4 linked regions of the Macaca fascicularis genome follow. The protein of the gene in region 1 interacts with the protein of each later gene in a pairwise test. Links are inferred from orthologs where the notes say so. Each region holds a gene or a part of one and is shown in the gene's direction. Other genes may lie near its edges.

The links.
Region 2: the proteins of REEP6 (region 1) and LITAF interact in binary tests that used the Homo sapiens proteins (3 or more experiments, as listed by UniProt). The two-hybrid records come from large-scale screens. The link is inferred for Macaca fascicularis from reciprocal best matches to the Homo sapiens genes REEP6 and LITAF.
Region 3: the proteins of REEP6 (region 1) and NDRG4 interact in binary tests that used the Homo sapiens proteins (3 or more experiments, as listed by UniProt). The two-hybrid records come from large-scale screens. The link is inferred for Macaca fascicularis from reciprocal best matches to the Homo sapiens genes REEP6 and NDRG4.
Region 4: the proteins of REEP6 (region 1) and SPG21 interact in binary tests that used the Homo sapiens proteins (3 or more experiments, as listed by UniProt). The two-hybrid records come from large-scale screens. The link is inferred for Macaca fascicularis from reciprocal best matches to the Homo sapiens genes REEP6 and SPG21.

Annotation. Positions count from the first base shown.
Region 1 is NC_088393.1:2,084,790-2,092,691, forward strand, and holds the start of REEP6 (receptor expression-enhancing protein 6), read left to right. Parts: upstream 1-2,828; 5' UTR 2,829-2,910; coding exon 2,911-3,025; intron 3,026-7,221; coding exon 7,222-7,315; intron 7,316-7,395; coding exon 7,396-7,534; intron 7,535-7,902. Other genes in the region: PCSK4 (proprotein convertase subtilisin/kexin type 4), read right to left, coding at 1-37, 133-225, 1,416-1,520, 1,781-1,969. UniProt on the Homo sapiens protein: Required for correct function and survival of retinal photoreceptors. Required for retinal development.
Region 2 is NC_088394.1:12,233,720-12,240,939, reverse strand, and holds the end of LITAF (lipopolysaccharide-induced tumor necrosis factor-alpha factor), read left to right. Parts: intron 1-70; coding exon 71-227; intron 228-4,029; coding exon 4,030-4,138; 3' UTR 4,139-5,791; downstream 5,792-7,220.
Region 3 is NC_088394.1:54,613,121-54,620,009, forward strand, and holds the end of NDRG4 (protein NDRG4), read left to right. Parts: intron 1-163; coding exon 164-211; intron 212-354; coding exon 355-390; intron 391-501; coding exon 502-553; intron 554-1,805; coding exon 1,806-1,844; intron 1,845-2,249; coding exon of another isoform or gene 2,250-2,350; exon of another isoform or gene 2,351-2,566; coding exon 2,567-2,721; 3' UTR 2,722-4,580; downstream 4,581-6,889. Other genes in the region: N-lysine methyltransferase SETD6, read left to right, coding at 6,518-6,889. UniProt on the Homo sapiens protein: Contributes to the maintenance of intracerebral BDNF levels within the normal range, which is necessary for the preservation of spatial learning and the resistance to neuronal cell death caused by ischemic stress.
Region 4 is NC_088381.1:41,566,764-41,573,983, reverse strand, and holds part of SPG21 (maspardin), read left to right. Parts: intron 1-3,594; coding exon 3,595-3,756; intron 3,757-7,220. UniProt on the Homo sapiens protein: May play a role as a negative regulatory factor in CD4-dependent T-cell activation.

The DNA of each region.
Region 1 (7,902 bases):
CCTGCAGGACACTCAGGTCTGGTTGGGCCTCGCTGTTCTGCAGGGGGAGGCAGGGTGGTGACCCTGTGAGGGCCTGGGGTCGAGGGCGCTAGTGGCCCTGTCCCCACCCACCCACCCTGGCTGCCCGCTCACCATGTACCACTGCTTGGAGAACCAGGGGTCTGTGGGCACCACCACAGAGCGTTTCACCCGCCGCCGTAGCGTCTGCTGCTGGAACCACTGCACCTACAGAGCAGAAGGTGGGTCAGGCCTGTCCGCTGCTCGCTCCTGGGGCCCCTCGTGGTTCAGGGAGTGAGGCAGCCCCATGCCCTGGGGCCCCGTGTTTGTGGGGGCTGCTCTCCAGCGTCCGCATGTACCTGGGGCTCTGTCTGCAGTCAGAGGGGACCGAGGCTTTTGGACCACCTGTCCTTGGGTCCACAGACGCATCGTCGCTGTCCCGGGTGACTGCAGGTCCCCAGGTCCCCACTCCACTCCTTCCCCCATCCCTGTTCTAGATCCTTCTCTCTCCTGCATCACTTCCTTTTTTTTTTTTTTTTTTTGAGACAGAGTCTTGCTCTGTCGCCCAGGCTGGAGTGCAGTGGTGCAATCTTGGCTCACTGCAACCTCTGCCTCCCGGGTTCAAGCGATTCTCCTACCTCAGCCTCCCAAGTAGCTGGGACTACAGGCGCACACCACCATGCCCAGTTAATTTTTGTATTTTTAGTAGAGACGGGGTTTCGCCATGTTGGTCAGGCTGGTCTCAAACTCCTGAGCTCAAATAATCTGCCTGCCTTGGCCTCCTGAAGTGCCGGGATTACAGGCATGAATCACCACACCAGGCCTGGCTTCTCTCTTGCAAACCACATCAGGAACCGGCCACTGCTTTCCCTCCCAGTGCTATAAGCAGGCAGCTGTCCAGTCCTGTTCAAGGCACTTCCTGGCCTCTGAGGGCTTCCAAGGCTCCATCTCAACCCCTCAGCTTGACATCTCAGGCATTTTCTAGACAGGGCCCAGCCCGATCGGACCCAGGCCCCTTTCTGAGCACCCGGACACTGCGTCCTGAGGGCCACTGGGTGACTTTAAGGCTCCTACTCTTTGGAACCCATTCCTGTGTTGTAAAATCCCCTTCCCTCCATCCTATGACCTAGACGGTGGGGAAGGCATTCCATCTGTTCCTCCTTACCAGAGCCCCTGGGACCCAGAGGAGGGAGGGGAAGGGCAAGAGGTGACCACTGTGTACCAGGCCCTGGCAGGCGCCATGATTTCCGTATCTGGGTCTCCCTCCCTCCTCCTGCTGTACAGACTTGTGGTCCAGGTGGGTCTGAGCCACAGAAAGCACACAGCTGTTCATAACAACCACGAGAACCACAGAAGATGGCTAGTGGCCCCAGGAGGCGGCTGAGACCCTGAGAGGGTGGCCTCCAGGCCAGGCTCACCTTGGGGTCTTTCTTCAGGTGCAGGCGGTGGCCCCAGTGCGGGGTCAGGGACTGCTGGACCACGCCCCGGTGCCGCAGGTGAAAGTACTGCCCATCAGGGAAGATCTGGGGATGTGGGGAAGCGGCCGCACCGATAGGACCAGGCTCCCCTGCTGGAGCCCCCGAGGACCGGTAACAGCCCCCTTTCTTGTCCTTCCCCACCAGGTGCTCTCTGGGAGTCCCAGAAGCTGAACTTGGCTGAGGCAGGGGTGGGCTGAGGCTCTTGATATTTAGGAGACCTTGTGGGCTCCCTCCCACTTGTCGGGGTCTAGGGTCCTCTAGTCCCTTCCACGCCCCCACTTCCCGTCCATCCCGGTCCCACCCACCGGCCCCAGGTTGACGAAGCCGAATTTGCGTGCCAGGCGCTCGACCTCCCGGTTACCCTGAGACACCCGGACGGCCCAGCTGCTGACATAGATGGGGGCTCGGACCGAGGCCCACCCCACAGCCCGGGGGCGGACGAGGGCCAGGGCCAAGACCCGGAGCAGCCACAGCGCAATCGGGGCGGGCCGCATGGAGGCGGGGCGGGGCCGGGGGCGGGGCCTGCGCAAAGCCCCTCCCTCCCGCCAAACCGCCGAGTGGACCCAGGCGTCCTCTCAGCCCCCGGCTCCATAGCAACGCGGAAGGCTTCGACTCCCAGGGGGCCTTGCGGCTACTCAGCCAAGACGGGCGCGAAGATCTGACAGAAGCGGGGCAGGGACGCACGCCTGCCCGTCTCCCGCAGACCCACACCTTCGGGAGCCTCAGTTTTCCCATTTGTACAACGACAAGACTAACCCAGAGAAGCGGGTTCACTGTTGCAGTAACGCGTCCTACCCTTTCTTTGGCCTCGCCCACTTTCCAACACACCCCTCCTTCGAGAATCAGCCCGGCCTCCTATCCGGGCTAATCAGAATCATTCTTTCGAGTAATCCCGCCTCCCCCGATAAGCCCCGCCCCGTTCCCGCCCCTACCATTCCAACCTGCCTCCTTTGTGATCAGCCCCGCCCTCCACTGCTCTCGCCAATGAATCGCGTCCCGTTTCTCCAATCGGCTCGGATTTTTCTTTAGCCCCACCCACCGGCTCCGCCCCCACCCGCGCCTCTCATCGCCCTGGCTCCACCCCCTCAGTGTCGCAGCCAATAATCCCGTCCCCTGACGCCGCCCTTCCAATCAGCTACGTCTCGCTCTGGCCCGGCCAATCGGTGCCCTGGGCCGGCGCGCCCCGCCCTCTCCCGGCGGGGTCTGGGCAGCGGCGGCAGCGGGCGGAGGGCTATGCGGCGGGGGAGACGGGGCAGGCCCCACCTCCTTTGTCCGCCCTGCCCTCCCATTGGTCCGGGCGGGGGGCCGGGGGCGGACACCGGCGCCGGGCCGGAGCAGCGCGGCTCAGGCTGCGGGAAAGCGGCGCGCGTGCAGCGGAGTGGGTGCGCGGGTCCGCGGGCGAGCTCGAGCAGCCAACCCCGGGCGCGTCGGGGCCATGGACGGCCTGAGCCAGCGCGTGGAGCGCTTCCTGGAGCAAAGGAACCTGGTCACCGACGTGCTGGGGGCGCTGGAGGCCAAGACCGGGCTGGAGAAGCGGTATCTGGCTGCAGGTGAGCCGTCGGCGCTAGCCCGTTTCGCCAACGGGCACACTGAGGCCATGGGCCCGGGGGTCGCAGGTCTGACTCCCTCCCCGGCTACGGGGTCCGGTCCTGCTCGTAGAGCGCGCGGGGTGACCGGGACTTCGAGGTCCACCCGCAACTCCTCCCTTGCCCGCGCCCTGCGACCCTGCTCCCGAGCCACCCCTCTCTAGCTTCCATCCCTGGCCGTCCCCCGCCGCCTCCTTCTGGGCGCTGGGTGCCTGCCATGCCGAAGTCCGGTTCTTCCAGTTGCCCAGTGGCCCCGGAGAGGCCAGGATGCCAGTGTCCTGCACGTTTCGCCGTCCCCCTCCCCCCGTGGACCCCGACCTGGCTGCAACAGTGGAGATCTTCCCGTTTTTCCGAGGGGAGGCTCCAGGCGGGGAGGGGAACGGACCGTCCCGGGGGGCTGCTCAGGACTCTCCTCTCCTCCTCCTCTCCTGCCCTAGCTCACCTTGCCCCGCTCAATGGCTTAGTGCCACCGCGCGTAAATATTTGTTAAGACGGAGTTGGGTTGTCTGACAGCTGTGATGTGGGGAGGTTGGACTGGGGCCCACAGAGCGGGAGATCCAGGCACCCCGATTGTGACTCCATTACAGTTCTTCCGGGCCTTTCACCCTTGGTGACGCCGCGCCCCTTCGCCTTTCCAAAACTACAGCAAGAGCATGTAGTAAGCGCTCCTTAAATGCCTCTCTCCCCACCTTTAAAACTTTTTTTTTGAGATCGAGTCTTGCCCTGCCGCACAGGCTGGAGTGCAGTGGTGCAATCTCAGCTCACTGCAACCTCTGCCTCCTGGGTTCAAGCGATTCTCCTGCCTCAGCCTCCTGCGCAGCGGGGATTACAGACGCAGGTCACCATGCCCGGCTAATTTTTGTATTTTTAGTAGAGACGGGGTTTCACTATGTTGGCCAGGCTGGTCTCGAACTCCTGGCCTCAGGTGATCCGCCCACCTCAGCCTCCCAAAGTGCTGGGATTACAGGTGTGAGCCACCTTGCCTGGCCTAAAACTTTTTAAAGTTAACTTTTTTAAGAGACAGGGTCTCACTATGTTACCCAGACTGGTCTCAAACTCCTGGGCTCAAGCGATCCTTCTGCCTCAGCCTCCCAAAGCTCTGGGATTTACGTGGGAGCCACTGCTCCCAGCCCCACTGGCTCTGCCTTCTCTTCCAGGAAGCTCCGCAGAATGACTTGAAAGGACTTGATCTGGGCCTGGGGTGTTCTGGGTAGAGGACAGTGCCACTTTTTTGAGCACCTTCTGCAGGTGGATCCCCGGAGTCCAGTCCCCCCCTCCATTTTCCCACCATCTGGGGGTTCCCATGCCAGGCAGCCTGAGAACAGTCTGAAATCTGTGTCCAGACCCTGGAGGTCCCCAGGTGCCTGGTCCCATGTGCAGTGCAGCAGGTGGCATGGGCATGGCCTGGCTGTGCCTGCCCCCGGGAGCAGGTCCCTGGCCTCTGCCCTCCCTTTCCACATCCCTGGGGCCAGTGGGCAGGAATTTAGGTCACAGAGCGCCCAGGAGGCAGGCAGCAGGGAGGGGCTGGCTGGGGCACTGTGTCACCAGAGAGGAAACTGAGGCACAGTTTCCTCTGCGCCTGTTGTGTCTGAGGCGTACACCCCTCCACCCCGCCCACTCCCAGTCCCATCTGCTGCTAATCGTGGGGGCTGGGCCCCCCTCCACAGTTCTGATGTCCAAGGTCATCCTCCCGTTGCTGAAGCTGCAGGAACAGGGATTTAAGGGAGGGACACCCTGGGAGAGTCACTCCTCCCCACAAGCCAGGCCTGGGGAGAGGTAGCATTCCCTCATCCCCCTTCTCCCACCTCATTTAAATCGACAAATCCCACACCCCTGGGTAACATACGAAGAAACTCAGAGGAGACAGTGACCGGGAGGCCACACAGCCTCCCAGCTGGGGGACTCCGCCTACCCGTGACCTCAGGTGCTTGTGGATAAAGACTAAAGCAGGTAGGAGGGGCTGGGAGGGACTTGGGCCTCTGCCCTTTGGTCCGGAAGCAGCCTCTATCTCACTCTGCAGATAGCAGCTCCAGGGGAGGAGGAAGGAGGCTGTCCAAGCTCTCTGAAGCACGGGGGTTCCCTGTGTGACCTTGGGCAACACCCACCCACCCCCAGTTCTGAATAAGATAATTCAGGGAAAGCACAAAACCTGGCACACAATAGGCGCTTAATAAATGCAGCTGTCGTCATCATTCTTTTCAGAGCCAGGTTCAGGATTGGGGCTGAGCTGGACACACACACCTTTTTCTCTGAACACCCTCCTTGCTGGGACTGTGTTATTGTTGCCTGAAGGCACTTAATAAATGTGGAGAAGGGCAGGTCGCGGCGGCTCACGCCTGGAATCCCAGCACTTTGGGAGACCGAGGCGGGCGGATCACCTGAGGTCAGGAATTTGAGACCAGCCTGGCCAACATGGTGAAACCCCGTCTCTACTAAAAATACAAAATTCAGCTGGGTGTGGTGGCACGCTCAGCTACTCAGGAGGTTGAGGCAGGAGAATCGCTTGAGTCCGGGAGGCGGAGCTTGTAGTGACCTGAGATTGTGTCGCTACACTCCAGCCTGGACGACAGAGCAAGGCTCCGTCTCAAAAATAAATAAATGAATAAAAATAAACGCGCAGAAAGGAGTTCTCTCTGTTAACTTGTTATTACTTTTTTTTTGCAACAGAGTTTCGCTCTTGTTGCCCAGGCTGGAGTGCAATGGCATGTTCTCGGCTCATCACAACCTCTGCCTCCTGGGTTCAAGCAATTCTCCTGCCTCAACCTCCTGAGTACCTGGGATTACAGGCATGCGCCACCACTCCCGGCTAATTTTGTATTTTTAGTAGGGATGGGGTTTCTCCATGTTGGTCAGGTTGGTCTCGAAATCCTGACCTCAGGCGATCCACCCACCTCAACCTCCCAGAGTGCTGGGATTATAGGCATGAACCACTGTGCCCAGCCCTCTCTGTTAACTTGAAACCATAAGAGGCAGGGGCCATTACCATTCCCACTTACCAAGGGGGAAACTGAGGCTCCGTGCAGCCACAGCCTTGCTCAGTGCCGGCTGGTGAGTGCACAGCCAACCAAAGGGCTCTCCTCCACCCGGGGGACCGAGATGCTGGGGTTTGCTGCCTCCAAGACGGGGGGGGGGTAGTACTGCCCCCCACCCTGCCCCAGGGACACTGGGTGATGTCTAGGGATATCTGTGGTCGTCATGACTGGGGAGCTGATGGCATGGAGAGGGCAGAGGCCAGGGACGCTGCTCAGCACCCTGCAGTGTCCAGGACAGCCACCTCCCCTCCCCGCCGAAAACAACCAAGAATGACCCAGCCCCGAACATCAGCAGTGCCAAGGCAGAGAAACCCTGCACTAAGATAACGGATGAAACAGTTGCGTTTCTCAGCTCTGGAACCAAGTCTTCATGACAGCCTGGCCTCCCTTGCAGGCTTCACCCATCCCTTATGTTGAAACATTAGCCTCGTTTCCCAGCGCCTCCCATAGGGCCTGGAACGAGATGCCTATCATTGCAGATTATGCTCATTCTTTTTTTTTTTTTTTTTTGAAAAAGAATCTCACCCAGGCTGGAGTGCACTGGCGCAAGCTCTGCTCACTGCAACCACCGCTTCCTGGGTTCAAGCGATTCTCCCGCCTCAGCCTCTCAAGTAGCTGGGATTACAGGCGCCCGCCACCAAGTCTGGCTAATTTTTGTGTTTTTAGTAGAGATGGGGTTTCACCATGTTGGCCAGGCTAGTCTCGAACCCCTGAACTCAGGTGGTCTGCCTGCCCGGTCCGCCCACCTCGGCCTCCCAAAGTGCTGGGATTACAGGCGTGAGCCACCACATCTGGCCAGATTACACTTACTCACTCAGCAAACACTTTATTGGATAGCTATTCTGCACCCACCCCCACTGCCCAGTGTCAAGCTCCTGCCTGCCCTTGGGGAGCTCTCAACCATGGTGGGGGACATGGACACATTGACCAGTTACAGGCACAAGGCTCGGGGCCTAGGGACACGATGGGGGGATGCACAGACACTTTGGGGGCAGTGGACACATCCTAGAGGCATCACCAAGGCTTCTGAGGAGGTTGCAGTCTCTGTCGACTGAAAGGAGGCCTGGGTGCTGTCATGGGGACTCAGCAGGTCCCTGGCCCTAGCACACCACCACCTCTCTCCCGCAGGAGCCGTCACTCTGCTAAGCCTGTATCTGCTGTTCGGATACGGAGCGTCTCTGCTGTGCAATCTCATCGGATTTGTTTACCCCGCATATGCCTCGTGAGTGCACGGCTGGCTGCCCACGTGGGGGGATCTGGGGGCTCCCGGGCAGCCCCTGACCCTGCTGTGCCTCCCTGCAGAATCAAAGCTATCGAGAGCCCAAGCAAGGACGACGACACTGTGTGGCTCACCTACTGGGTGGTGTACGCCCTGTTCGGGCTGGCCGAGTTCTTCAGCGATCTACTCCTGTCCTGGTTCCCTTTCTACTACGTGGGCAAGGTGGGCCCTGCCAGGGCGGGTACAGCCATGGAGCGCATGGGGCTTGGGGATTCCTGGGAGGTATTGGGGCCAGGAGGTCCGGAGGAAAGAATACCAGGAGATGGGAGATGGGAGGGGAAGACTCAGTCCTTTCCCTGGGGAAACGGGCCCTGTCCGGGGGCTGATGGTGGAGGGCCCACCTTGAAGGGTGTCTGATGGTGGAGACCCAAGCCTGCTCCAATAGGATGTCTGATGGTGGAGGACTCACCCTAAAGGATGTCTGATGGTGGAGGGTTCACCCTACAGGATGTCTGATGGTGGAGGGCCCACCCTAAAGGATGTCTGATGGTGGAGGGCCCACCCTACAGGATGTCTGATGGTGGAGGGCC
Region 2 (7,220 bases), on another chromosome or scaffold:
TTGTCCTGTTGTGAATGCTAGTGGCCTTGTTTCCTGAGCAGCCTGTGTTTGTCCCTCTCCCTTTCATCAGTTACCGTGCAGACGGTCTATGTGCAGCACCCCATCTCCTTTCTGGACCGCCCTGTTCAAATGTGTTGTCCCTCCTGCAACAAGATGATCGTGAGTCAGCTGTCCTATAATGCCGGTGCCCTGACCTGGCTGTCCTGCGGGAGCCTGTGCCTGCTGGGGTGAGTCTGCCTCCCACTTGGCCCCAAGCCCTCCTGCCCTTCTCTCCGGGTGCTGGCGGCGGGGTGGGTTCTCAACCGCACCATGCTTGGCATTCAGGCCAGACATTTGTGTTGGTTTCTTTTGAGATGGAGTCTCACTCTGTCACCCAGGCTGGAGTACAGTGGGGCAGTCTCGGCTCTCTGCAACCCCCACTGCTCAGGTTCAAACGATTCTCCTGCCTCAGCCTCCTGCGTAGCTGGGATTATAGGGGTACACAACCACGCCCAGCTTATTTTTAATAGAGTCGGGGTTTCACCATCTTGGCCAGGCTGGCCTCAAACTCCTGACCTTAGGTGATCTGCACGCCTCGGCCTCCCAAAGTGCTGGGATTACAGGTGTGAGCCACTGTGCCTGGCCTAACACAGTTCTTTCTTTTTTTGTGACGGATTCTCACTCTGTTGCCCAGGCTGGAGTGCAGTGGCGTGATCCCGGCTCACTGTAACCTCTGCTCCCCGGGTTCAAGCGATTGTCCTGCCTCAGCCTCCCTAGTAGCTGGGATTACAAGTGTGCACCGCCACGCCCGGCTAATATTTTGTATTTTTAGTAGAGATAGGGTCTCACCATGTTGGCCAGGCTGGTCTCGAACTCCTGACCTCAGGTGATCTGCCCGCCTCAGCCTGCCAAAGTGCTGGGATTACAGGCATGGGTCACCATGCCTGGCCCAAGACATTTCTTGATTGTAGGGGGTGTCCTGTGCATTGTAGGATATTGAATAGCATCCTTGGCCCCCACTCGCTTGATGCCAGGAGCACTACGCTCCCCACTTCTGACCAAAAATACCCCCTGGGAGGCCAAGTCATCCCTACTGCTCTATCAGTCCCCAGAAATTGGTCTTCCGTCTTTTCTTCTTGCTTATCTGCGCGTGGGGACAAGCTTCACAGCTGCTTCCAGCTGTGTGTAGGGCAATACCCTCAGGGGTTCCTTTTCTTCTAGAATTTCATGACCTAAATAATAATGTTTGCTGGAGCCCGAGGGAAGCTTTAAACAATCTGTGCATTAAAATTCTTCATAGGAATCGCTTCAAAACTTCTTATCCTTTTATGACCCAAAGTATTTTTCCCGTTGCCCATGCGCGGGAATTATGTAAATATTTATGTCTGCACCCAGGGTATTATGTTTAAAGAGATAATAGTTTCTGTTCTGGGAGAAAAATCTGAGGAAACACAATCAATTTTTTGTTTCCCACCAAGCAGGTAAAAGTAGCTTCCTTATTCCTGGCCACGTGAGCCACTCAGAAAACCCCAAGGGGCTCCATTCTTTTCCTTGAAGGAACCGATGTTTGTGACTTTCAGGAGCCTCATGCAACCAACACATTCCTCCACATTGTCCTTTGGTGACTTGAGGTTGAAAAGGAACAATATTTCTCTTCCTAACTTCAGTAAGAGGCTCAGAGTCCCGGAGAGTGTAGTTAACTTCCTCGAGGTCATGTGTTAAATAAGGAAGGAAGGAGACAAAACAGCTTTCTGGGCACCTGATTCCCCCTCTTGCCCACAGGACTCTGCTGTTGTTTTCATTCCATGGGCAGAAAATGCTAAAAAAAAAAAAAAAAAAAAAAAAAAAAGAGTCCATTGCCTCTGGATATTTGTATTAAAACAAATTTTTATCTTTGAAATCAGGGAAAGGACAGAATAGAAACTTCCTTGTTTTGTTTTGTGTGAGACTGAGTCTTGCTGTGTTGCCCAGGCAGGAGTGCAGTGGTACGATCGTAGCTCTCTGCAGCTTTGACCTCCTGGGCTCATGCAATCCTCCCACTTCAGCCTCCTGAGTATCTGGGACCACAGGTGTGTGCCACCATACCCAGCTAGTTAAAAATTTTTTGTGTGTGTGTGTGTGTGGAAGCGGGTGTTTTACTATGCTGCCCAGGCTGGTCTTAAACTCCTGGACCCAAGCAATCCTCCCGCCTTGACCTCCCAAAGTGCTGGAATTATAGAGGAATAGAAACTTACACTGAGTATTGGCCTCTGCCAATCTGGCTTTACAAATTGAGGCAGCCTTTGTTTCCCTCCCTTTGTTCCTTCCTTAAACATGGTAGAGTGGGTTCAAATCCTGCCTCTCACTAGCTGTGTGGCCATGGGCAAATGACTTTACCTCTCTGTGCTTCGGTTCCTCATCTATAGACGGGGGGGCGGGGCAATAAGGCCCACCTCAGGGGCTGCCGAGGATAAAATATATGTGTGTGCTGCCTGGAGCCGTGCCTGCACCTGTAAGCCATAGGTTAGGACTCCTGCTGAACGGACTGACTGCTCTTATTTGAGCTCTGGAAAGCTTAGGCAATAGGAGGAAATTTCTTTCATGAGATAATTTCCTCATCAGAATGTTTCCAAATTTTGCCTTATGTAAACCAGCATCTTCCCGTAAAAGGCTGAGTTTTAACCACGTTTTTGACAAACATTGGTTGTCAGGCTGTCTGACGTTCCTTCCTGTGTGTGCCAATGGTGGATTATGTAGGTTAAGAGTTGTTATTTGGGGAATTCTACTTGGTTGCTGTAAGAAGCAGCCTGTGTATATGGGAAAGAGATCAGTAAGACAGGGGTTGGCAAAACGGCCCTGGAGCCAGGCACCTGTTTGCAGTTTCACAGGAACATAGCCACGCCTATTGGTTTTTGGATTCTCTGTGGCTGTCTTCTCGTTGCAAGGGCAGAGTTGAGTAGTGGCAACAGAGACTCCATGGCTCATCAGGATGAAAGTATCTGGCCGGGTGTGTGGTGGCTTCCACTTGTAATCTCAGCACTTTGGGAGGCGGAGGTGGAAGGATCACTTGAGGCCAGCAGTTCAAGACTAGCCTGCGCAACATAGCAAGACCCCATCTGTACAAAAACAAACAAAGAACAGCAAGAAAAAGACTAAAAGATCTACTATCTGGCCCTTTGCAAAAAAAAGTTCACCAAGCCCATCTAAGACTTTGAAAGATTCCCAAATGACTCAAGATTTGAAAATCATGCTCAAAGGGGGTCTGTCCTTAGGAGGAACCTTGGCGTTGGCTGGCATGTTAATTTCCTAGGGGTGCCATCACGAATTACAACACACCTAGTGTTTAAAACAACAGATATTGACTCTCACAATTCTAGGGGCCAGAAGTGCAAAATCAAAATGTCAGCAGGAGCCGGGTGTGGTGGCTCTCGCCTGTAATCCCAGCACTTGGGGAGGCCAAGGCAGGTGGATCACTTGAGGTCAGGAGTTTGAGACCAGCCTGGCCAACATGGTGAAACCTCATCTCTCCTAAAAATATATAACTTAGCTGGGCGTGGTGGCATGCGCCTGCAGTCCCAGCTACTCAGGAGGCTGAGGCGAGGAGAATTGCTTGAACCCAGGGGGAGGGAGAATTGCTTGAACCCTGGGCAACAGAGCAAGACTCCGTCTCAAAACAAACAAATAAACAAACAAACCAAAAAAAAAAAAAACCCCAAATGTCAGCAGGGCCACGCTCCCTCCTAAGGCTTCAGGGCAGAATGTTTTTTTGCCTCCTCCAGCTTCTGGTAGCTCCAGGTGTTCCTTGGCTTATGGCCTCATCGTTCCAGCCTCTGCCTCTGTCTTCACATGCCCTTCTGCCCTCTCTGAATCTCTGTGTGTCCTCTCCTCTTCTTCTAAGGTCATTGGGTTTTGGGGGTCCACCTGGATAATCCAAGATGATCCCATCTCAAAATTCCTAATTATACTGGCAAAGACCCTTTTTACAAAGAAGGACATGAACATGTTTTTGGCAGCCAGTGTCCATCCTATTGTGGTCAGTAACGTGCTCCACGTGTCTCTCTCCCCTCCCAGGTGCGTAGCGGGCTGCTGCTTCATCCCCTTCTGCGTGGACGCCCTGCAGGACGTGGACCATTACTGTCCCAACTGCAGAGCTCTCCTGGGCACCTACAAGCGTTTGTAGGACTCAGCCAGACATGGAGGGAGCCGGGTGCCGCAGGAAGTCCTTTCCACCTCTCATCAAGCTTCACACCTGGTGGAGGTTCTGCCCTGGTGGTCTCACCTCTCCAGGGGGCCCACCTTCATGTCTTCTTCTGGGGGGAAATGTCGCAAAACTAACAAACCTCCAAACCCCAAAAATTGCTGCTTGGAGTCGTGCATAGGACTTGCAAAGACATTCCCCTTGAGTGTCAGTTCAACGGTTTCCTGCCTCCCTGTGACCCTGAGTCCTCCCATCTAACTGTGATCATTGCCCTCTCCGAGTATCTTCCAGTGATCTGCCATCAGTGGCTCTTTTTTCCTGCCTCCGTGGGCCTTTCTGGTGGCAGTCTCAAACTGAGAAGCCACAGTTGCCTTATTTTTGAGGCTGTTCTGCTCAGAGCTCAGCTGAACCAGCCTTTAGTGCCTACCATTATCTTATCCATCTGTTCCCATCCCTGATGATAAAGATCTTGCCTTATAGACTTTACAGACTTGGCTTTTAGAATCTGTAACTTCAGACTTCATTAGCACACAGATTCACTTTAATTTCCTAATTTTTTTTTTTTTTTAAGTAAAAAGAGGGGCTATTAACACGCAGTACAGACATATCCATGAGGTCATAAATGCATCCTAGAATACCAGGGCTGGATTTTATCACTGCCCTGTGTCCCCTTGTTTCTCTGTGCCAGATCATCAGTGCCCCTTTCCATACAGGGATTTTTTTCTCATAGGGTAATTATATGAACAGTTTTTATGACCTCCTTTTGGTCTGAAATGCTTTTGAACAGAATTTCTTTCTTTTAAAAAAAAAAAAAAAACAGAGACGGGGTCTTACTGTGTTGCCCAGGCTGGTCTCAAACTCCTGGGCTCAAGAGATCCTTCTGCTTTGGCCTCCCGAAGTGCTGGGATTGCAGGCATGAGCTACCGTGTGGGGCCTGAACATAATTTCAAGAGGAGGATTTATAAAACCATTTTCTCTAATCATATGATCGGTGTCATTTTCCCATTTGCCAGTGTAGTCTCACTTAAAAAAAGAAAAGGAAAAGAAATGGATAATTTCATCCGCTGCCTTTACTTGGGGTTCATGTGGTTCTTAAACACCTTCATCATGGAACTCCCAAAGTGGGGTCCCTTTTGGGTTCCTGGTGGTGGGTTTTGGAAGATAAGGGAAAGCACATTTTGAGCATGTCTGGGTACCATGGTGCGGAACACTTGGGAACCAGAGCTGTTTCAGAGGAATCTGAAGTCTGATTTTAGTTTTCAGAGACATGGCTTGTTGTAAAACATCAGAAGACATGATTTCCAGGACTCAAGCAGCAAGCCAGGATTCTAGGTTGGCTGCTGTGTCATCTTTGAAGTCAAGACAAAGCTGGGCTCGACCTTCAAGAGTCCTCGATTTGACAATAATTCAGCTTAGGGAACTCATGTGAATACTACTATGTAAAAATAAAACCTAGACCTTGAGCGAACATCTGTATATTGGTTGAAAATGATAGTGGTAACCATGGATCCCCCTTACTTCATTTGATGTTTGGAAAATTCCAGTAATTATCATTTTTGCAATGAATACGGATACCACATAGTACTTTGGTGTTACCTGCTTTTGAAAAATAAAGTCTTTGGTTCACCCGGTGAACTATTTATGAGTTCTTTTGGTGTGAAGAAAGGGCTCGTGTTGCGTTTCCAGCCATTGCTACAAAGAACCTTTATTTGCTCAGTAACGGTAGAAAATCCTTCCCGATTAAAAACGTCAGACTTGCTGAATATCCTGCAATGTCTAGATGAGCGATGTTGATTTGGGTGGATTTGCTAACGAGTCAGATTTGAACATGAGGCTTTTGGAACCCAATAGGCGTCGTTGATGGCGGCAAGCCATAGCTTTCAAGTTTTAATAAAATGCACAGAAGAGAGCTGTCCTCATTCATTCTCTGAACAAAACATGCTTTGTGAGATGCTAAAAGGAGGGTATTGTAACATGTCAGGAGTATGGATGCCGCCTTCCCCCCTCCTTTGCTACCTGATGATACAGCTTCATTTTGCTAGATGCAAGGAAATAATGTCATCTTGGTGTGGCTTACATTGTCATTTAAACCCTAAATTACAGTCTTGAAAAATTGCTGCTTTCCAGATCTTGATTGTGTAGTTTTGGGGCCATGCATATTTAGCAGTTTGGCTCAGATGGTGGCATATACATGATCTCAAGCTATTATTAATTACACATGCAAAGTCTTCAAAACAAGAGCCCTATTTCAGGATCAGTAAAAACATGTATTACGCGAAACTTTCATGTCAGTTGCCTGGAGTACGAAGCATTCATTGGATATTCCATTTTACTGTTCAAAGTATGGACTTACATATCAAATTAAAAGGCTCTTTTGTTCTGCCGCTGTTTGATGGGGACTTGAGAGTCTCTTGCAAACACTGGTTCACATTCAATTAATGAAAGGGCTTTATACCTGCCTGCTTGGACTGCAAAGAGGAATTTTACCAATCTGAAACCAAAAGTGGCTATTTATCTTATATTCTGTTATGTCCATCTAGGCGAGGTGGCCTTCTAAGAAGTGTTGGTTTGTGTCTTAATGAAATTATTCAGCTACTACATCTCTTGAAGCCAGACTTAAGCATATGATGGATTCCTTGCTGACCACAGCGTTACCCGTGAAGATTTTTTCTCTGGGACAACTGGCTTCCCAGTTGCTAACGAGAACACTTCTGTTGGATACTGAACTATTTATAAACAGGGCTTCATATACTCACACCATTTGGCCTCAGTTTTCTCTCCAGTGAGAGTCTGACGTGTTTGGGATGTTAAAAATCCTTCTCTGACTTTCTGGGCTCAGGATTTCTGTTAGGAGTAAATCTAGACGTTGGAATTTTACTTGCAGAATTCTGATTTGCCTTTTGGTTCGTCGGTCCTCTCCTTCCTGTATGACTGAAATGTTTACAATGAGCCACCTGTATTTTGCAGGCACATGAGTGAATTGGAAGTAGATCTACCAGGGGCCATGAAAGAGACATTAAGAGTAGTTTCGCTTTTTATTTTTTTGAGAGGGAGTCTTGCTCTG
Region 3 (6,889 bases), on another chromosome or scaffold:
AAGAACGTGGGGAGCCCTGGGAGAAGCAGCCTGTCACAGGTGCTGGGTCTCCCTCTGCCTCCCTGCACCCCCTCTCCTCCCCAGCTTGGGGCATCAAACCTGCCTTAGCCACAGGGGTGGGGAGGGGCCGGGGCTGTTGCTGAAGCTGGCTCCTTGTCCCCAGGTGGAGTGCAACTCCAAACTGGACCCGACCATCACGACCTTCCTGAAGGTGAGGCTTTCTTCCCCAGCCCTAGGCCAGCTTCCCTAGCATGGGCCCAACCTCAGGGAGGGGCTTGCCTGGGGTCCCAGCCAGGTGGGAGCTTGTCCTGGAGTGAGGGCCCTGCTCAAGTCACCCCACTCTCTCCCTTGCAGATGGCAGACTCCGGAGGGCTGCCCCAGGTCACACAGGTGAGACTTTTGGCCCTCCTGCCCTTCCATCTATGGGGTGGGGGAAGCCTCTACCCTCCCTGCTAATCCTAGGCAGCCAATGAAAGCATGTGCTTGTCCTGCCCTCCGCAGCCAGGGAAGCTGACTGAAGCCTTCAAATACTTCCTGCAAGGCATGGGCTACAGTGAGTACATTTCCACCCCACCACACCTAGAGACCAGTGGGCAGTCAGTGCTGGGGTGGGGGGTCCTGTTTGCAGGGCTGGCACGTGGTGTCAGGGGGTACTGGGGAGCCCACAGGCATAGTTTTGTGTGACCTGGGCCCCGGATGCTGGGCCCCACAGATGCCACCTGAGTTGCAAGTTGCACATCCCAGGCTGTGCCCAGCTCCCCTTTGCCCTTAGGGAGGACTTGGCACACTGTTCTGATGGCAGTGATGGGCATACTGGGGGAAGGGACCCTTCTCTCTGTGCTGAGGGTCCAGGTCCAAGGGCCACGTCCTGCCAGGGAAGCCTGTCTGGGGGTGAGGCACACTCCCCTCATCTGCCCCAGGGCTTGGGGTCAGAGTTGGGCCTACGGCACCTGAGAAGGCCTTTTGAAACAACTGGTGGCTGCACCCAGGGCGTCATAGGAGTGGGCTTGGAGCCTGGGGCCAGGGAAGGCAATTGGGGCGGCCTGGGCATTCAGAGAGCTGAAAGCAGCTGAACCTGAGTTGGCAGATCTGAAAATCTGGGTCTGGGGTAGAACCAGGTACACATACACAGACACACACACCCCTTGGGTGTCTCCTCAACTTCCCCTTCCCTCTAAGACATACCTGTTTCCAGCTCCCCACTACCAGGTGGCAAACTTCCTCTTCTCAGTTTGTTTTTTATTGCCCTCCAGACTTTAGCCTCTGGAGCTGGTATCTCCAGGGCAAACAGGGGGCGGCCTGTGGGAAGGCTGGGGAGGACACCCAGGAATACAGTGCTCTCTGGAGCAGGGCAGAGCCCTAGGGCCCGCAGGGGGGCTCTGCAGGAGCGCAGAGGCTGGGATCAGGGCACAGCAAGCATTTGTGAGGTGAATGGAGGAAGCTTGTCAGGCGCTGAGATGCGTTCTCAGGGTCCTGGGGAGAAACTCCACCAGGCAGCCCCGAGCTGGGAGAGGCACAGAGGGGCAGGCCTCCCCAGTTCTGTACGCAGGAGACTGAGGCCCAGCAGAATGGTGAGGGGATAAGCACCCCACCGGCTGTCAGGGCTTCCTTGGGTCAGAGATCCTTCTGGGGACCACTGCTGGGTGGGCTTCCAGAGCCTCTGACCCTGCCCCCAGCCTCTCTGTGCCTGTCCTTTGTCCCATCTCTCCGGCTCATCTCAATGCTCTGGCCTCAGTGGACCACGCTGTTCACTGTGTTGTGTCTCCCCCACCCCGCCCCCTGTCTGGCTCTGTCTTCTCTCTTAGTTGCGTACTTGAAGGACCGAAGGCTGAGTGGAGGAGCAGGTAGCCCCACAGCCCTTCCCCTGATGCATGGACACCTAGCCTCCCCCTCCCCCGCTCCTGCTGCAGCCAGGCCGCATCTTGCTGTGGTTTGGAACCTTCTTGTGTCCTGTTCCACTCAGAAAGCCCACAGATTCTTGTGTTTCTGCAGACTTGGCCTCTAGGTTGGCTGGGCTGCAGAGCAGTCTTGCTTCTAGGTTGTCATGAGCTTCGTAGCTTCCAGAGCTCTGGGGATTGGAAACAGACCCTCCTTAGAGGTAGAGCCCAGGTCTGGCCCTGCCTGAGCCAGAGGTGGCCAGGAGCGTTCAGGAGGGTAGAGTTTGCTGCCCGCAAGTCTTGCTTGTGAAACTCCAAACAAGGGCAGAGTCTGAATTGAGGGTGACCACTGCTCCGTGTCCTCCTTTACAGAAGCAGTCCTACTTCTCCACCGGCATCCTCGAGGGAGGCACGGCTGGAAACCCAGCACCTCCCTGCACCAGCTGCTCAGGGCTGCCTGGTCAGCTGCTTGAGAGGGCCCTGCTGGCCACAGCCCCCTAGGCCCACTCACTGTCGCTGGCCCTGCATGCCCCCGGCCCGACAGCTGTCGCCAGCCTCCTGGCTCGGGAGGGGCCCTTTGTGCCTTCGAGAAACGGTTCGCTAGCCGCTTTGCTTGCAGCCTACTTTTCCCACCAGAGGCGCCTGGCCCTGCCCGCCAGTCCTCAGGCCCACCCTGTCTCTGTCCACAGTGCCCTCAGCCAGCATGACCCGCCTGGCACGCTCCCGCACTGCATCCCTCACCAGTGCCAGCTCGGTGGATGGCAGCCGCCCACAGGCCTGCACCCACTCGGAGAGCAGCGAGGGGCTGGGCCAGGTCAACCACACCATGGAGGTGTCCTGTTGAAGCCCTCGATCCCGCTGACGACGCCCACCTGTCCGCCCACGTCGAGGCCCCACCGCCATCCTTGCGCCGGCTCATGTTCCCTTTAGTTTATTTTTGTGAGGGCAAAGGGGAGGAAATGGGGTTCTGTTTGAAAAAAATGAGGGGATCTCTCTTAGATCCTTCAGCGGAACAGTCTCCAGGTGTTTTGAGGGGCTCACTCCTCCCCACCCCATCTCACTCTCCGTGGTAACTTGGCCGACTTGACCCCTCTCATCTCACTCCCTGTGGCCCAGGCACAGGAGGGCAGGGCCATAGGGAGGGAGATTCTCTAAGGATCCAGGCCATTCCTGGGTGAGCCCTTGGGCAGGCAGGTTTGCAGATGGGAGAGGCTTCGAGAGGGTGGTTACTGGGCCCACAGGGGTGCAGGGCCAGCTCAGGCACTGGAGTGGGAGCCCTGGGAGACCCCTTCCCCCACTCTCCACCAAGCACACCCGTTTCTGTCTCATAGCACATGTGACAATCATCTGGACAATAGCCACAAGGGGGCGGTCGGACCAGGCAGCCACTTTCCTGGTGCTCTCTGGGCCCAGCTGGTGCTGTAGGGCCAGGCAGGCAGGGGCGTCGGGGTTTCTCTGCCCAAGGAAGACAGAACATGGAGAACCGTGAGGGCAGGAACCCCACAGACTGTCCCTTCCAGCCCACACTCTGCCACCTCCTGGCCCTCTCCCATTTCTGAGCCAAGGCCTCCCCGAGGCAGAAGTTGCCTGGTCGTCTGTCCCCACAGTGACCTGACTGGGGGTGAGGGAGAAGGAAGAGAGAGCCCATGTGTGGCGTGTGTGCCCTGAGAACATCGTGGTGACTGCCTTTGGGAGCCCGCAGGTGGCCAGAGGCAGGGGTAGCTGAGTTCCTGGAGACCCCTTTTTTGCCCCCAGGTTCCCCAGAGGGCAATGCCATCAGTAGCAGTGTGGTGTTTCAGGCAGAGCTCTGGCCAGGCTGTGCCAGCGTGTCCTGGAAGCATCACTAAGGAAGAGAGAGTTTATTCAGTCAACTGGCCCAAGGCAGCGAGACTTCTACCCCATAGCCCCCTGGGCTGGGGCTTACTGGGGGCTGATGATTCTGGACACGAACAAGAGCCAGGTAGAGGAGAAAGGCTTCTCCCACACCCCAGCCCCCTGCTGTCCCCTGAAGCCCAGGACTGTGTTGTATGCTTTCCATCCACCCACCTTACCCTATAGCATCTTGCGGCCCAGAAACCAGAGCCATTTGTCTCAGACCCTAAATCAATGGTCACAAACCTCAAAACAGAGAGGGGAGAGAGCAATGAAAACATGAAGGGCTGTGGAGGGGGAGGGTTGTGGCAGGTGTTCTGAGGCTGAGAGGACACCTATATGCGTATTTCCTCTATACACATCACCCCCCTTCTGTAATCTTAAGCCATGACTAGCCTGGTGATGTGTTAGTTTGTGCCGAGTTCTACCCCCTCATGTGCTGCTTCTGAATACTGAATGTGACTGGTTGAAAGCTGGTAGAATTCATCCCTCTTACTGTAGATAGCACTGCAAATCGTGGAATTTTTTTTTTGTTTTTTGCTGTGTTTCCAGATGAAATATCTATAAATATCTATACATTATATATATAGATGTGTGTGTGTGTGTGTGTGTGTGTACATTGGGTCCTCCCATGTGTGGTGGTCCTCCGGAGGCTGTCTCTTTGGTCAAGGTGAACTTTTAATGTTTATTATTTTCTTCTCCGCACAAAGAGCCTAATTCTGTGTATTCTGGTGGCTGCTGTCATGAGATGACAAAATGTAAAACAAAACTCTAGTCAACGTAGAAAGAGTTAACTGTGCTGAAAAACTAATAAAGAACCTAAGAATTCCAGTGTGGTGATGCCATGCCCATCGTGGGAAGCTTTTGGAGTGACAGAATGTTTGGGCAGGGGCTGCTGGTGCTGCTTGGTTTGGGGTGAGGGTGCTAGGAGAGGATGGTCTCCACCCATCTTTCTATTTCCAGTACATGTCACATTATTTTACCAGTGAGAGGAGAGTGTGACAAACATTAAAAGCCTTATGTGCTAATTTCTGCTTAAACCCCTGACTCTGGGACAAAATACAGCTCTCCTCAGCCAGGCGCGGTTGCTCAAGCCTGTAATCCCAGCACTTTGGGAGGCTGAGGCGGGCAGATCACTTGAGGCCAGCAGTTAAAGACCAGCCTGGGCAACATGGTGAAACCCTGTCTCTACTAAAAATACAAAAATTAGCCAGGCGTGGTGGCAGGCGCCTGTAATCCCAGCTACTCGGGAGGCTGAAGCAGAAGAATCTCTTGAACACGGGAGGCAGAGGTGGTAGTGAGCGGAGATCATGCCACTGCACTCCAGCCTGGGGGACAGAGTGAGACTCTGTCTCAAAATAAAAAACAAAATACAGCTTTCCAGAAAAAAAAAGCCTTAAAAACAAAACACCCCTGCCCTCCAAATCTCTTGCCTGAGTCACTACATTCCTTCAAAGATAAATGACCTGTTCTTTGCCTTCTCCTAAACATACGATCATGTCTGACAGGGTTAATGATTATACTTCTGCAATCTATAACCAGATATACTTATCCCTAAACTTTGATATGATTTTACACATACTAAATCTTCAACTACATATAACCTAAACTAAAATACCCTGTTACAGCAGCCTCACAAGATTACTCCTGGGCTACAGGCCTCAGTCTATAGTCCTCAGTAAGGCTTCTAAATAAAACTAATTTTAATTATTTAAAAACTTAATATTTTTTCTTTAGTCAACATACCAGTCCTTACATTAATCCTACAGGGTAGGTATTATCTTAGTTTCACAGGTGAGGAGACTAAGCTTCAGGAAAAAGGATCTGCCTTAATAATAGACCAGGCCGGGCGCGATGGCTCACGCCTGTAATCCTAGCACTTTGGGAAGCCGAGGCGGGCGGATTGCCTGAGCTCAGGAGTTCGAGACCAGCCTGGGCAACGCGGTGAAACCCCGACCCTACTAAAAATAAATACAAAAAATGAGCTGGGCGTGGCAGCCTACGCCTGTAGTCCTGTAGTCCCAGCTACTCGGGAGGCTAAGACAGAATTGCTTGAACCCGGGAGGTGGAGGTTGCAGTGAGCCGAGACTGCACCACGCACTCCAGCCTGGGCGACAGATCGAGACTCCGTCTCCCCACCTCCCCAAAAAAGAGAAAAAAAAAAAAACACTGAGTGTTGAGCTCCGGCGTTGCTTGGTTTCAAAACCCATTCCTGTAACCTCGTTTATTTATTCACAGCCTCGTTTTCTTAAAAACAGCATGCTACTTCCCCAGGTTTAACCACCATTTGTTTTATTCATTTATTTACCCAATAGGTAGATATTGAGTCCTTACTATGTCAGCTAATAAAACCCACCACGTGCTATGCAGTAGATTAAAAAACGAGGATGTACTGGCAAATAAGGGCAGACAGGATCTATTCTAGATCCAGGAGCCCTCTAGGCCACGCTATTCCGAAACACACACGAAAACTGCTCTGAACGCATACCACCAGTAAAACGATTCCATGGCCATCGGTAACAAGGAGTCGAGATCAGGAGGTCGCTGGCCGCCCAGATGCGTCGCTCACCACCGGCCGGCCGCCAGACCCTCGGCTTCCGATCCAGAAACCGTATTTTGTTCCTACACCCAGACCGCAAGAAGCCTCAGCCCTCGGGGACAGACCAAAGGCCAGGGTTGTACCTGGCTCAGAACCAGGCTCCAAGCGGCACGGGACGCTCCTTCTGCACTCTGACCGCGTGAGTGCAATTGGAGATCCTGGACTCAAGATGTTTTCAGTAGGAACGATTCCAGCCAGCGCTAACACCGGCCGGTCTGCAGCGTGGACGCCAAAACAGGCACCACGTGGTTCTGGCGCCGGGGCGGGGCCAGAGACGCCGGAAGTGGCCGCGCGCTCCACGGGCCCACCGGGCGGCGCGCTTTCAGACCATGGCGACCCAGACGAAGCGCCCACGGGTGAGTGGCGGGTGCGGGGTCCAGCCTTCTCCTTCGCGCCTCACCCCTCCTCCGCCCGCAGGGCCATGCGCCTGCGCCCCCTCCGCTCCCTCCCGCGGGTCCCGCGCCCCTCTCCGCTCGTCCCCACCTCCACCCAAAGCCCGTTCTGCGCGCGCGCGTCGCGGTCTCCTGCCGTTCCCAGCGGG
Region 4 (7,220 bases), on another chromosome or scaffold:
TCTGTTTGCAGTGACATACTCATTCTGCCACAGTCATCTTCTGGAAGCTTTATTTTCCTGGGATGTTTGAAAGTCCTAAATACTTACATTGCCATTGAGTATTGACTCTGCTTCCCAAATTAATCCCAGAGTTTGGGGATCACACTAGACAAAGGCAATTCAAGTCACTGAGTAGAGTAAAACCGTTGCTAATTCCCTTGCAGAAGTGTTAGAATCCAGTGATCTTAAGATCTTTTGTAGCTGTTTGTGATGGCTCATGCCTGTAATCCTAGCACTTTAGAGACCTAGGAGGATCACTTGAGGCCAGGAGTTTGAGACCAGCCTGGGCAACATAGTGAAACCCTGTCTCTATAAAAAGATGAAAAAATTAACTAGGTGTGGTGCTATGCACCTATAATTCCAGCACTTTGGAAGGCGGAGGCAGGAGGATTGTTTGAGCCTAGGAATTTGAGATCAGCCTGGGCAATATGACGTGACCCTTTCTCTACAAAAACTAGAAAAAATTAACTGGGCGTGTTGGTGCACGCCTATAGTCCCAGATACTCAAGAGGCTGAGATGGGAGGATTGCTTAAGCCCAGGAAGTCAAGGCTGCAGTGAGCTGTGATCGTGCCACTGCACTCCAGCCTGGGTGACAGAGCCAGACCCTATCTCGAAAAAAAAAAGCAAAAAAGTGAGTGGCAAAACGTACAGGGCAAAAACATGAGCATGAGATACATTATCACCATCTGTGACCTGCGGAAGTCCAAAGGGGAACTGTGAGGCCTCTGTGGACTTTGCCTTGCTCCATTTGTCTGCTCCTAGTGATGCCAGTGAGTGACCCTGGTTAGTGTGCTGCCATGCACACAGTGACACTGTGGAGTCCATAGCCCTGCTAGTGAGGAGCTCTCAGAAAACAGAGCCTGGAGGCCTTGAGTTTTTTAATATAAAAGTAGAACAAATACTGATTTGCATTGTCAAATGTTCAAGCAGTTAATGTACTTTTCTAAATACCACCAAAAGTCAGAGAAAACAAAAATTAAACTAGGATGCAGTGAATAATAATAACTAATACTTCTAGGACACTTAACATTTGCCAGACTCTGCTGAGCACTTGACTTGCCTCAGCTTGCCTTTTTTTCTTTCCTTTGTCTTTGTTTTTTTTTTTTTTTTTTTTTTTTTTTGAGACGGAGTCTCGCTCTGTCGCCCAGGCTGGAGTGCAGTGGCGCGATCTCGGCTCACTGCAAGCTCCGCCTCCCGGGTTCACGCCATTCTCCCGCCTCAGCCTCCCGAGTAGCTGGGACTAGAGGCGCCCGCCACCGCGCCCGGCTAATTTTTTTTTTGTATTTTTAGTAGAGATGGGGTTTCACCGTGTTAGCCAGGATGGTCTCGATCTCCTGACCTCATGATCCACCCGTCTCGGCCTCCCAAAGTGCTGGGATTACAGGCTTGAGCCACCGCGCCCGGCCTCCTTTTTCTTTTTTTTTTAAAGAGAGAGGATCTCTCCCTCTGTTGCTCAGGCTGGAGTGTTGTTGTATTTTTATTTATTTATTTATTTATTTATTTATTTTAAAGAGACAGGATCTGGGCTGGGTGCAGTGGCTCATGCCTGTAATCCCAGCACTTTGGGAGGCCAAGGCAGGTGGATCATGAGGTCAGGAGTTCAAGACCAGCCTAACCAATATGGTGAAACCCCATCTCAACTAAAAGTACAAAAAATTAGCTGGGCATGGGAGCACGTGCCTGTAATCTCAGCTACTTGGGAGGCTGAGGCAGGAGAATTGCTTGAACCTGGGAGGCAGAGGTTGCAGTGAGCCGAGATCGTGCCGCTGCACTCCAGCCTGGGCTACAGAGTGAGACTCCATCTCAAAAAAAAAAAAAAGAAAAAAAGAGAGAGAGACAGGATCTCCCTCTGGTGCTTGGGCTGGAGTGTTGTGCGATCATATAGCTCAATGCAGCCTTGAACTCCTGGGCTCAAGCGATTGTTGTGTCTCAGCCTCTCAAGTAGCTGGGACTATAGGTGTGTACCATCGCACCTGGTTAATTTTTTCATTTTTTGTAGAGATGGGGATCTCACTATGTTGCCCAGGTTGGTCTCAAACTCCTGGCCTCAAGCAGTCCTGCCTTTTGCCTCCCAAAACACTGAGATTACAGGCGTGAGCCATCACGCCTGGCCCTCAGCACATTGTTTTCTTTCTTCCTTTTTTTTTTTTTTTTTAAGACAGAGTCTTGCTCTGTTGTCCAGGCTGGAGCCCGATCTCAGCTCACTGCAACCTCCGCCTCCCAGTTTCAAGCAATTCTTTTGCCTCAGCTTCCCCAGTAGCTGGGATTAAAGGCATGTGCCACCATACCCAGCTAATGTCTATATTTTTAGTAGAGACAAGGTTTCACCATGTTGGCCAGGCTGGTCGCAAACTCCTGACCTCAGGTAATCTACCTGCCTTGACCTCCCAAAGTGCTAAGATTATAGGCGTGAGCCACCATGCCCGGCCCCCTCAGCTCTTCCAGTGCTCATTATTTCCCCGTCATGTTGGGTCAAGAACCACTCCATCAGGAAGGTTTCTGATTACCTTCCTCCTTCCTACCCACTTTTCACCAAAAAGCCAGTTTCTCTCTGTGCCACTCCCTAACCCCTACTGGTTTGATGTATTCTCCCAGGAGAGTGACACATAGACCTGCCTCGTTCCCCTTCTGTAGCAGAGTCTCCCCCACAACTCCCCAAAGGCTTGGTTTAGAGAGGCTCCTGAAGCATCTCCTGAGCTGGTGCTATCTCTACCCACCTATCCAGGTGGATAGAGACACGAGCTAGGAGCCTTGTCTCCCCATCAGCTCCCCTGTTCATACTCTGACCCTGCACATCCCAGCCAGTCCTCTGGGTCAGCACTGCAGAATGACTGCAGACTGCCCTCCTTGTACAGACACATTCTTAAACACACACACAACCAGAAATGTGGGAAGAAATAAGATGTCTTGTATAGAGTTCACTGTTTAATGTTAAGCAAAATAGATTTCTTCCTATTGTTGTGGATGGACGGGAAAGGTAGAAACTGAGAGAAGCAGCCAGGTGTGGTGGCTCATGCCGGTAATCTTAGCACTTTGGGAGGCTGATGCAGGCAGATCACCTGAGGTCAGAAGTTCGAGACCATCCTGGCCAACGTGGCAAAACCCTGTCTCTAATAGAAATACAAAAATTAGCTGGGTGTGGTGGCACATGCCTATAATCCCAACTACATTGGAGGCTAAGGCACAAGAATCGCTTGAACCTGGGAGGTGGAGGTTGCGGTGAGCCGAGATCACGCTGCTGCACTCTAACCTGGGCGACAGAGCGAGACTCTGTCTCAAAAAAAGAAAAAGGGTGGGGGGGAAGAAACAGAGAAGCAGCAGCCCTCTGGAAGATTATAAAGTAGTTCTAAGTAGTTCTGTGGAATATGTTAGCCCTGAGGAAAGAAAAGGAGACTAGAGGAGTCTGTCATGCATGCTAATCTGGTGTGAGCTTCAGGTTACCTTGTAACAAACAAGGCAGTAGTGTTAAAATTGTCAGTGAAATGATAGTGTAAAATAACATAAAAAGTGAATTTATAAGATTTTCCACTTTTTTCTTTTAAATTTCCCTCCAGATTATCGTAGATGATGATGACAGTAAGATATGGTCGCTCTATGATGCAGGCCCCCGAAGTATCAGGTGTCCTCTCATATTCCTGCCCCCTGTCAGTGGAACTGCAGATGTCTTTTTCCGGCAGATTTTGGCTCTGACTGGATGGGGTTACCGGGTTATCGCTGTAAGTATTACTGATTCAGTATTAAAATGTAGACCGACGTTTTGTGGGTTTGTGTGTGTGTGTGTGTGTGTGTGTGTGTGTGTGTGCTTCTGTCTCTGATCAGCTATAGTAATAGGCACAGTTTGTTTGTTTGTTTGTTTGTTGAGACGGAGTCTCACTCTGTCACCTAGGGCTGGAGTGCAGTGGCGTGATCTCAGCTCACTGCAACCTCCGTCTCCCAGGTTCAAGCAATTCTCCTGCCTCAGCCTCCTGAGTAGCTGGGATTACAGGTGCCCGCCACTATGCCCAGCTAATTTTTTGTATTTTTAGTAGAGACGGGGTTTCGCCATGTTGGCCAGGCTGGTCTCGAACTCCTGACCTCATGATTCACCTGCCTCAGCCTTACAAAGTGCTGAGATTCCAGCCATGAGCCACTGCGCCCGGCCGGGCAGTTTTTTTTAATTGAGGAAAGATATTGTTTGCCTATTTTAATATGTGAGATGAAGCCTTTTGAAGGAGGCTGGTGTGAGTCCACAGTCACACAGAGATTCAGAAGGAACAAACCTCTATTGGCAGCCTCTCCATGCCCAGCGTTTACGTGCATTCTCTCCTGACGCCCTTCTCTCAACTCGGAGTGGTTGGAAGTGTTGTCCTTGTTTACAGATGAAGAAACTGAGGTCTGGCTCACACAGCCAGTAAGTGGTGGAGGGAGGAACTGAGCTCTGTCTCCTGGCTCTGTTTCTGCTCCTCGTTTTATCACAGCACTGCTTCCAGGGTTGCTGAGCATGGAATATTAGACAACAAAGGGATTAGCTAACACACAAGTGACTGAAAAGCTGGCTTTTCGTGTAAATCTTTGATATTTGAGGTGAGATTCATTAATTAGCTCATATGTTAGCATTTGGTTAGGAAGTTTTTTGTTTATGATTAGTACTTTATAGCCGAGTTTGGTCTAAATCCAGTTTCCCACTGATCATTCTTGAGTCTTCTCTGGGAGAAAAGTGTGTGGGAAAGGCACTCTTCCTGGTGACTGATTTTTCTTTTTTCTTTTTTTTTTTTTTTGCATGCTTCCACTGTAACGACACAGGTTGGTCAGGACGTTGGTCTCCTAATTTCCCAGGAAGGAGACAGCCTTTTTAGCTGGCAGTCGCCTGCAGTATTCACTTGTAAGTGGTACTCCCGGTGGGAGTGCTGCTGTTAGTGTGTGTGTTATTTACTGTTGAAGGGGTGAAAAAGCATGTCACATGTCTTCTCTTGGAAGGTAACTGAAAGTTCTACTGAGGTTACCACCAACTGAGGCCACACAAAAGAAATCAGTTCCTCTTCCTCCTGAGAGCCCATCTCTTACTTGAGAAAACAGTTATCATCACCACCACCTGCTGCTTTTCTCCTGGGTCTTTTCTTCTCTGGCTTAATTTCTCCAGCTTCTTTAACCATTCGTCACATGACATGTTTGAGCCTCTGCAACATAATCCTCCTTTGTTCAGACTTTCAGTCATTCCTCTTCACAAACAGCATTCTAGAACAGGGTAGGAACTGCCCTCATCCAAGCCCTCTGCAGCCTGAGACATGACACTACCATTTTTGGTGGCCCCTGTTGATCAGCCAGGGAGGGGGAGCCAAGCAGCCTGCAGGTGCCCGTCCCACTTGGGAGTGCTGTCCAACAGCGTTTCTCGCTCCACAGTGGCAGATCATGAGAGCCTTGGCTTCTGGCTGGATGTTTCTTCTTTGCCCTCAAGGTTCTCGATGTGGGCTTTCCCTGTTTCGTTAGGAGGATAGTTAATCAAGAAAAGGTCAACAGCGTCTTGATCAGAATGTTCAGCTCCATGAGGTTGTGGAATTTATTTGATATTTGTTAGTATCTAGCAGTTATAATGCACAGACCTTTTTAAATTTTTTTTTGTTGTAATTGTAGATTCACATGCAGTGTAAAAAATAGTTCAGAGAAATATCCTTTTTACACATTTCCTCAGTTTCCGCCAAACCTTTGCAAAACTGTAGTACAATATCACAACCAGGATATTGATATTACTACAATCTACCAATCTCATTCAGGTTTCTCCAGTTCTGCTTGAACACATTTGTTTGTATGTATTAAGTTGTGTATAATTTTGTCACCTGTGTGGGCACAGATATTTATAAATTAAAGACTCCATGAAAATATCATCCCCTTTCTTTTAGGCTATCATCTGACTCAAATTCTCAAACTTTCTGCTAGGGAGAATCGGTTCCCCATTCTTTCTTGGCATGGTGGAAGTTTTACCCACAAATAGAATTTTAATAATAAAAGTCATACATCAAATCTAAAATGATCCCATAATTCATTTGGCAGTATCCATTCCAGTGATTCATCAGTAACAAAATGAACCTAAGTGCTTAAACAATAAGCCTGTTAGACGAGGTTTTTTGGGATTTGTTTTTGTTTTTGTTTTTGTTTTTTGGTGATGGAGACTCGCTCTGTCGCTCCAGCTAGAGTGCAGTAGTATGATCTCAGCTCATGCAACCTCCACCTCCCAGGCTCAAGCAATTCTCATGCCTCAGCTTCCCCAGTAGCTGGGATTACAGCTGCCTGCCACCATGCCTGGATAATTTTTGTATTTTTTTGGTAGAGATGGGGTTTCACCATGTTCCCCAGGCTGGTCTCAAACTCCTGACCTCAAGTGATTCCCCTGCCTCAGCCTCCCAAAGCGGTGGGATTACAAGCATGAGCCACTGCGCCCAGCCAGTGGGTTTTATATGTACATAAAAAAGGAATTCTTGACCAGGCACGGTGGCTTACGCCTGTAATCCCAACACTTCGGGAGGCCGAGGTGGGTGGATCACGAGGTCAGGAGATCGAGACCATCCTGGCTAACACAGTGAAACCCCCCGTCTCTACTAAAAATGCAAAAAAGAAAGAAAATTAGTTGGGCATGGTGGCACACGCCTGTAGTCCCAGCTACTTGAGAGACTGAGGCAGGAGAATCGCTTGAACCCAGGAGGCAGAGGTTGCAGTGAGCTGAGATCGTACCACTGCACTCCAGCATGGGTGACAGAGTGAGACTCCATCTCAAACAACAAAAAAAGGAATTCTTAGGGGACAAACCTGAGTCCCTTAGAAATGAGTTTGTGACTTGTACTTCTTTTTCCTCATCATTGCCAGCATTAATAGACAGGCTACATATAGTCAAGTACCATACTTCTTTTTCACAAACAGAAGTACAATAGCCTGGCATGGTACTTCTGTTGGCTCACACCCGTAATCCCAGCACTTTGGGAAGCTGAGGCAGTCAAATCGCTTGAGGCAGGCAAATCGCTTGAGCCCAGGAGTTCAAGACCAGCCTGGGCAACATGGCAAAACCCCATTTCTACAAAAAATATATATATAAAAATTAGCCAGGCATGGTGGTGCATGCCTGTGATTCCAGCTACTGGGGGGCTGAGGTGGGAGCATCGCTTGCGCCCAGGAGGTTGTGGCTGCAGTGAGCTTACAATTGTGCCAATGC